2 linked regions of the Macaca fascicularis genome follow. The protein of the gene in region 2 binds, or shares a complex with, the protein of the main gene of each other region. Links are inferred from orthologs where the notes say so. Each region holds a gene or a part of one and is shown on either strand. Other genes may lie near its edges.

What was found.
Region 1: the proteins of KLHL12 (region 2) and PLEKHA4 are in contact, whole or in part, in a crystal structure (PDB 8OIO), measured with the Homo sapiens proteins. The link is inferred for Macaca fascicularis from reciprocal best matches to the Homo sapiens genes KLHL12 and PLEKHA4. Residues at the interface, in NP_067646.1 of Homo sapiens: Phe289, Arg320, Glu417, Tyr434, Ile439, Phe481, His486, Cys511, Tyr512, Tyr528, Leu533, Cys558; in NP_065955.2 of Homo sapiens: Pro177, Gly178, Gly179, Pro180.

The regions. Positions count from the first base shown.
Region 1 is NC_088393.1:56,823,509-56,827,320, forward strand, and holds part of PLEKHA4 (pleckstrin homology domain-containing family A member 4), read right to left. Parts: coding exon 3,686-3,812; intron 1,485-3,685; coding exon 1,426-1,484; intron 349-1,425; coding exon 236-348; intron 1-235. UniProt on the Homo sapiens protein: Binds specifically to phosphatidylinositol 3-phosphate (PtdIns3P), but not to other phosphoinositides.
Region 2 is NC_088375.1:60,647,308-60,651,119, reverse strand, and holds part of KLHL12 (kelch-like protein 12), read left to right. Parts: intron 1-2,070; coding exon 2,071-2,177; intron 2,178-3,399; coding exon 3,400-3,595; intron 3,596-3,812. UniProt on the Homo sapiens protein: Substrate-specific adapter of a BCR (BTB-CUL3-RBX1) E3 ubiquitin ligase complex that acts as a negative regulator of Wnt signaling pathway and ER-Golgi transport.

The sequences.
Region 1 (3,812 bases), on a different chromosome or scaffold from region 2:
CAGATGTCGGTCCTCTCCCCGCCCCCTGACCTCTTCCTCCCCTCCTCCCAAGTGTCCCGGAACCCAGTCCACTCTTGCCTGAGACCTAAAACTCCCAAACTCTGCCCAACTCTTTCCTCGCCAACATAAAAAATTCCCACCGGCCCCTAGACCCCTCCTCTCCAGGACCTGGGATTCCAGGTCTCCAGCTTTCTCCTCCCTAAAACCCAGAAGTTCAACATCCCCAGCCAGTCACCTGTCATCATTCTGTGCCACTGCGACGCCTCAGTAGCCAGGGCTTGGGAGAGGCTGAGAACCCGCTCCCGGTGACCTTCGGAAGTCGGCAAGTAAGGGGTGGTGTTCCTTGGACTAGAAAAAAAAAAGAAGATTGGGGGTGGGGTGTGTACATGGGGGAGAGGTGGGGAGGGTTAATTGGTACAAAAAGAAAAGGATGAATAAGACCTACTATTAGATAGCAAAACAGAGTGACTATAGTCAATAATAATTTAATTGTACATTTTAAAATAAAGTGTGTAATTGGATTGTTTATACATCAAAGGGTAAATCCTTGAAAGGGGATGGATACTCTATTCCCCATGACGTGCTTATTTCACATTGCCTGCCTGTATCAAAACATCTCATTTATCCCGTAAATATATGTACACCCACTATGTACCAACAAAAATTAAAAATTTAAAAAAAAAAAACAGTCCAGGTGCGATGGCTCATCCCTGTAATCCCAGCACCTGGGGAGGCCAAGGCGGGTGGATCACTTGAGGTCAGGAGTTCGAGACCACTCTGGCCAACATGGGGAAACCCAGTCTCTATTAAAAAATACAAAAAAGTTAGCCAAACATGGTGATGGGCGCCTGTAATCCCAGCTATTAGGGAGGCTGAGGAAGGAGAATCACTTGAACCCGGAAGGAGGAAGTTGCAGTGAACTGAGATCGTGCCATTGCACTCCAGCCTGGGAGACAGAGCAAGACTCCGTCTCAAAAAACAAACAAACAAAACAAAAAAAACAAAACAAAAGTAAAAATAAAAATAAAAACTGAACAGCTCGCACAGTGGGGACCCGGGTACCGCGCGTGCCCTTCTGGGAGTTGTAGTTCCTAGCACGTGTCTCTAACAGATGTTAAACATGGCACCGCCCTCATACCGCCCACATGCATTATGGGATTTGTAGTCCATTCGGAAATCACTACCACCCAATTTCCTTGATGCAAAAGCAGGCTATGCTATTGACCAAGGGAATTTGGGGAACTAAAGATATCACTACGGATCTAGGGCTTTCCGGTTTTGTTTCAGATGCCCCGGGAACGTAAGCATATCTAGAAGGGTTGCGATTTGTAGTTCCATATTCAGGAGACCAATAATAATGCTACTCCCCTTTGCTTATGCAAATTTTTTTTTCCTGCTCCCTTGATACGCCCTCCAGTTCCTTACCTACTCCAAGACCCAGAGCTTCTGAGCCATTTCTGGGCTCCCGAGTGTCCTACGACAGGCTGGAAAGGAATTGGGGCATTAGAACTCCTCACCTGGAAGCCCCACATTCTCATTTTGAGGGTGAAGTGAAGGGGCTCCAAAAGAGAATGAAATTGCCCAAAAACACTGGCAATGTTTTGTTTTGTTTTTCCTATGCTTCCGTAGGCACTGAATTTTTAAAAATTAATTTATTGGCCGGGTGCGGTGGCTCAAGCCTGTAATCTCAGCACTTTGGGAGGCTGAGACAAGCGGATCACGAGGTCAGGAGATCGAGACCATCCTGGCTAACACGGTGAAACCCCGTCTCTACTAAAAAATACAAAAAACTAGCCGGGCGAGGTGGCGGGCGCCTGTAGTCCCAGCTACTCGGGAGGCTGAGGCAGCAGAATGGCGTAAACCCGGGAGGCGGAGCTTGCAGTGAGCTGAGATCCGGCCACTGCACTCCAGCCTGGGCGACAGAGCGAGACACTGTCTCAAAAAAAATAAATAAATAAAAATAAAAATAAATTTATTTTATTTATTCATTTTTTAGAACGGATGGAGTACAGCAGCGTGATCATAGCTCACTGCAGTCTCAACCTCCCAGGCTCAAACTAATCCTGCTTCAGCCTCCTGAGTAAATAGAACTTCAGGCTCACACCACCATGCCTGGCTAATTATTTTTAGTTTTAGTTTTAGTAGAGACAACGTCTTGCTATGTTGCCTAGGCTGGTCTCTTACTCCTGCCTCGGCCTCCCAAAGTACTGGGATTACAGGGGTAAGCCATAGCACCCAGCGACTGACAATGTTTAACTTTACCTGTGTTCCTATAAAGCAGCACATGAGTTCAGAAATCCAACCTCCACCACCACCCCCGTGACTGTCTAAATCCTTTCTATAAAAGTCTAAGGGGCCAGGTGCAGTGGCTCACACCTGTAATCCCAGCACTTTGGGAGGCCAAGGTGAGTAGATCACTTGAGGTCAGGAGTTCAAGAACAGCCTGGTCAGTATGGTGAAACCCCATCTCCACTAAAAACACACAAAAAAATTAGCAGGGTATGGTGGCGTGGGCCTACAATCCCAGCTACTTGGGAGGCTGAGGCAGGAGAATTGTTTGAACCTGGGAGACAGGGGTTGCAGTGAGCCGAGATTCCGCCACTACACTCCAGCACGGGCAACAAAGGGAGACTCCATCTCAAAAAAAGAAAAAAAAATCTAAGGGGAGGTCAGGTGCAGTAGCTCACACTTGTATTCCTAGCACCTCCTTCCAAGGCAGGAGGATCACTTGAGCTCAGGATCTCGACACCAGCCTGGCCAATGTGGTGAAAATCTGTCTCTACTAAAAATACAAAAATTGGCTGGATGTGGTGGCGCATCCCTGTAGTCCCAGCTACACGGGAGGCTGAGGCACGAGAATCACTTGAACCCAGGAGGTGGAGGTTGCAGTGAGTAGAGATCGCACCACTGCACTCCAGCCTGAGAGACAGAGCAAGACCTCGTCCTCGAAAAAAGAAAACACTTTTTTTTTTTTTTTGAGACGGAGTTTCACTTTTGTTGCCCAAGTTGGAGTGCAATGGCACAATCTTAGCTCACTGCAAACTCCACCTCCTGGGTTCAAGTGATTCTCCTGCCTCAGCCTCCCGAGGAGCTGGGATTATAGGCTTGCGCCACCACGCCCAGCTGATTTTGTATTTTTAGTAGAGACGGGGTTTCTCCATGTTGGTCAGGCTGGTCTCGAACTCCCGACCTCAGGTGATCCGCTCTCCTTGGCCTCCCAGGGTGCTGGGATTACAGGCATGAACCACCGCACCCGGCCAAAAAAAGAAAACATCTAAGGGGAAACCATCCTGAGATATCTGAGACACTCTGATGCTCAGATCTGGGATGTTCTCCCTACTGAAAGGGCATGAATTAAATCAATTTTCTTGCTGTCTTACATTTTCTTTTTTTGCTTTCTTGCTGTTGACAACACATAGCAACTGAGAAGAAAAACTAGGCTTCCAATCCAGATCTGCGACCCCCCGCCCCCACCCACTGTCCTCCCCTCACTGCCACTCCTGTCCACCCACCACTAACCAGTCCAGGAAGCTGACTTTAGCACAAGTACAAACTGAGGTAAATCTGGAAATCCAGCTTGGAGTAAGGAGGTAGGCATTATCTCCATTTTACAGAAAGGGACTCAAAGTAGGCGAAGAGGACCTACTACCACCCCACCGCCCAGCCCCAGTCCTCCTCTCCTCACCCTTTGCTCCACATCAGGCTGGCGTCTGGCTGGGGACAGTGTCCTTCCCAGGGTGAGGAGCCGCGGGGAGGTCGGGCGAGGGAGGGGCCGTCCACATTCCTGGTTTCTGCGCATCCGCTCCAGCTGC
Region 2 (3,812 bases):
ACTGGATATAATTCCATCACTATGTGTCATACTTCCACGTGTGTCTCTAAAAAGGATAAAATTTTTGACACATCTAGAATGCCATTATCACTGTTTAAAATCACACAGTTCCTTATTGTCATAAGTACGTGTATGTGTAACTTTTTTTCCATAATTTTTTGTTGTTTGTTTTTGAGTACTTACGTTGTTCAAATCAGGAGCCAAAGTCCACACGTTGCTAGTGATTTCATGTCTCTTTTCAGTCTCTTTTTAATACAAAGTGTTTCCATCCTGTTTTGGTTTTTACTAATCAATTTATTTCTTGAAGAAAACAAGCTATTCGACCTGTAGAATTTCCCACATTCTGGACTCTGCTGTTGGCATCTTTATAGTGTCATTTAACATGTTCTTCTCCTATGTATTGCCTGTAAACTAGTGGTTGGACTAGAGGGTTGTTAAGAGTCAGCCTCAATTTTTTAGAAAAAAGACTCATTAGATGGTAGTGTGGTCCTTCCTATTCATCACCATTAGGAAGCACACAATGTCTCATAGTAATATGTTAGCTTTTGAAATAATGATTCTAGCCCAGCAATTGATGATAATTGTCAAATCCATTACTTCATTAGGGGTTTATCTGTGTTTCCTGTCAGCTTCAAGGTACTACATTTGCTCTTTCAAGTCCAGGTTACTTGTAAGATCACTTTGGTCTCCTAGATGCTTCCTAGTGATTGAATTTTCCAAAGCTCCAGCTAACTGTTCTCTCCATGAGTTCTAATTGAGTTCTAATGGAGCACATGCACAGGGGATTTTCTCAAAGAGACTTTGCTCTTTGAAAAAAGCCAAGCCAGGTGCTGTGGCTCATACCTGTAACCCCAGCTACTTGGTAGGCCAAGGCAGAAATATCGCTTGAGGCCAGGAGTTTGAGACCAGCCTGGGCAATATAGCAAGACCCTGTCTCCAAGAGCCAGGGTAGGAAGTATTTTATCAGAGTAAGGCCTTAGGGGAAGGGGAAGATATAAAGGCTGTCAGAATAGCTTCTTTGGGAAAATAGAGAAAAAGACTTTTCCTTTAAAACTCTAGTCTTTTGTTGCCTTGTGGTTTTGATGAATTGGCAGGGAATATGATCATATAGTTGACTACATTGGAGAAGGAAATGTTCATGAAAAAGAGATTTTAGGCCAGGCACAGTGGCTCATTCCTGTAATCCCAGCACTTTGGGAGGCTGAGGCAGGAGAATCACTTTAGGCTAGGAGTTTGAGATCAGCCTGGGCAATATAGCGAGACCCTTTCTCAATTCAGAAAAAGAGACTTTAAATCCATCACTTGGATCCTAAGTTTCAACATGCAGCTTTTTTTTGTGACAAGGTTAGGAGAGTTCTTTCCCTATTACAACAAAAAAACCCTCCCAATTTGGGTTTTTTCAGGCTGAGAAGTGCAGAGAGTGCCTTTAGCCTCTCACCTGCACTTAAGACCTCAAGTATTATGTCAGCCAGTCATCTCAATAGGTTGAAATGGTGCAGTGTTGCCGGGCACGGTGGCTCACGCCTGTAATCCCAGCACTTTGGGAGGTTGAGGCTGGCAGATCACCTGAGGTCGGGAGTTCAGGACCAGCCTGACCAACGTGGAGAAACCCCATCTCTGCTAAAAATACAAAATTAGCCAGGCATGGTGGCATATGCCTGTAATCCCAGCTACTTGGGAGGCTGAGGCAGGAGAATCACTTGAGCCCAGGAGGTGGAGGTTGTGGTGAGCCGAGATTGTGCCATTGCACTCCAGCTTGGGCAACAAGAGTGAAACTCTGTCTCCAAAAAAAAAAAAAAAAAAAAGAAATGGTGCAGTGTCATGTTGAAGTTTGCTTTCTAGAGTTTTAATGTTGTCCAGAAATTTAAGTTTCAGAGACTTGAGAGCTACAGCCTCAAGGAGAAATAACTCCCCATTCGACAGCCTTATGATTATCTCCCATTTCAGATTGCATCCCTCAGTCACATAAAACAAGACATCCTAGAACTGTTTCTGTTGACACTTCCCTGTGACTAGTTACCCATCCAGGGATGCTGAACTAACCCATCTTTTTTCTGCCTTTGTCTTCAGGAGCCAATGAAGTGCTTTTGGTGGTTGGGGGCTTCGGAAGCCAGCAGTCTCCCATCGACGTGGTAGAGAAATACGACCCCAAGACTCAGGAGTGGAGCTTTTTGCCAGTAAATAATGGTGAAACCATTCGTTGGGAGGGAGCTTAAATGTCCTCAGTCTCTGGGTCCAGATCATAGCTAATCCAGCCTTAGGAGTAGAAAAGCTATTCGTTGGGAGGGAGCTTAAATGTCCTTAGTCTCTGGCTCCAGATCGTAGCTAATCCAGCCTTAAGAGTAGAAAAGCCTAATAACAGGATCATGTTTCTTACAGCAGTCTTGTGCACATAGTAGGTACTCACTAAACAGTTTTTGACTGTTTAGATTAGAAGATTATGCCTTAGTAATGTCAGTGGCCCTGTGTCAAGGTAAACTCAGATGGCCACCACTAGTTAGGTGCCTTGCCAAGCTGTCTGTATAATTCCCAGCACATTTCATTGGTCATGCTGTGTTAAACTGAACTGAATGTTAAATTGTGTGTAATTGAACCTAGTGTTCAGTTGAGCTAAGTTTGGGCTGGGCATGGTAGCTCACACCTGTAATCCCAGCCCTTTGGGAAGCTGAGATGGGAGGATCCCTTGAGGCCAGGAGTTCAAGACCAGCCTGGGCAATATGGTGAGACTCTGTCTCTACAAAAAAGTAAACAAAAAAATTAGCCAGGCATGGTGGTGCATGCCTGTAGTCCTTAGCTACTTGGGAGGCTGTGGCAGAGGATTGCTTGAGCCCAGGAGTTCGAGGTTGCAGTGAGCTGTGATTGTGCCACTGCAGTCCAGCCTTGGTGACAGTGAGATCCCAACTCAGGAAAAAAAAAAAAAAAGTTTGTATCTGTCTTCCTCAGCATGTCTCTTTCAGTGCTGAATGAACAATAGTACTTTCTAAGAAAACATGGAAATCCAACCCTTCTACCTTTTAAGGTTCTTGTAATAAATCCTGGCCCTTTGATTAGCAGTGTGGGAATACTTTTCCACTTTATGGAAGGATATCAGTCTCTTAGCCCAGTGCCTTATGGAAAAGAAAGGAGTCAGATACTAGATAACAGAAGACTGTTAAATCTTTTGGAAGCCTTGGAAAGAGGCAGATGTGCAGAAAGCTTGTATCTTTAAGAGCACCACAAGCATTTCGTTCAGTAGATAGCTATTTGGGAGCCACTTGAGGATGAACCACTCAGGGAGGGTTCATGATAACAGGTGAAGAAGCATAGAGGTGTGCAGATGCAACAGGGAAGATGGCAAAAGGTAAGGCCTAAAACTTGCCTAACTGAAATGCTCTGTACCTCTTCTCTCCAAATCCATAGAGCATCACTCGTAAGAGACGTTATGTGGCCTCAGTGTCCCTACATGACCGGATCTACGTCATTGGTGGCTATGATGGCCGTTCCCGCCTTAGTTCAGTGGAATGTCTAGACTACACAGCAGATGAGGATGGGGTCTGGTATTCTGTGGCCCCTATGAATGTCCGACGAGGTCTTGCTGGAGCCACCACCCTGGGAGGTAGGCTGGATGTGCAGGGCAATTATTTCCATCTTACTGTGGCTGGACCAGGGTTTTTAACCTCTCCTGTTGTCTGGCAGGAGCATGAAATATGGAGAAAAAATTAAGGTCAAATGTTACTATTATTTGAGATAGGGTCTCTCTTTGTTGCCCAGGCTGGAGTGCAGTGGCACGATCACGGCTCACTGCAGCCTCAACCTCCCCAAGCTCAAGCGAT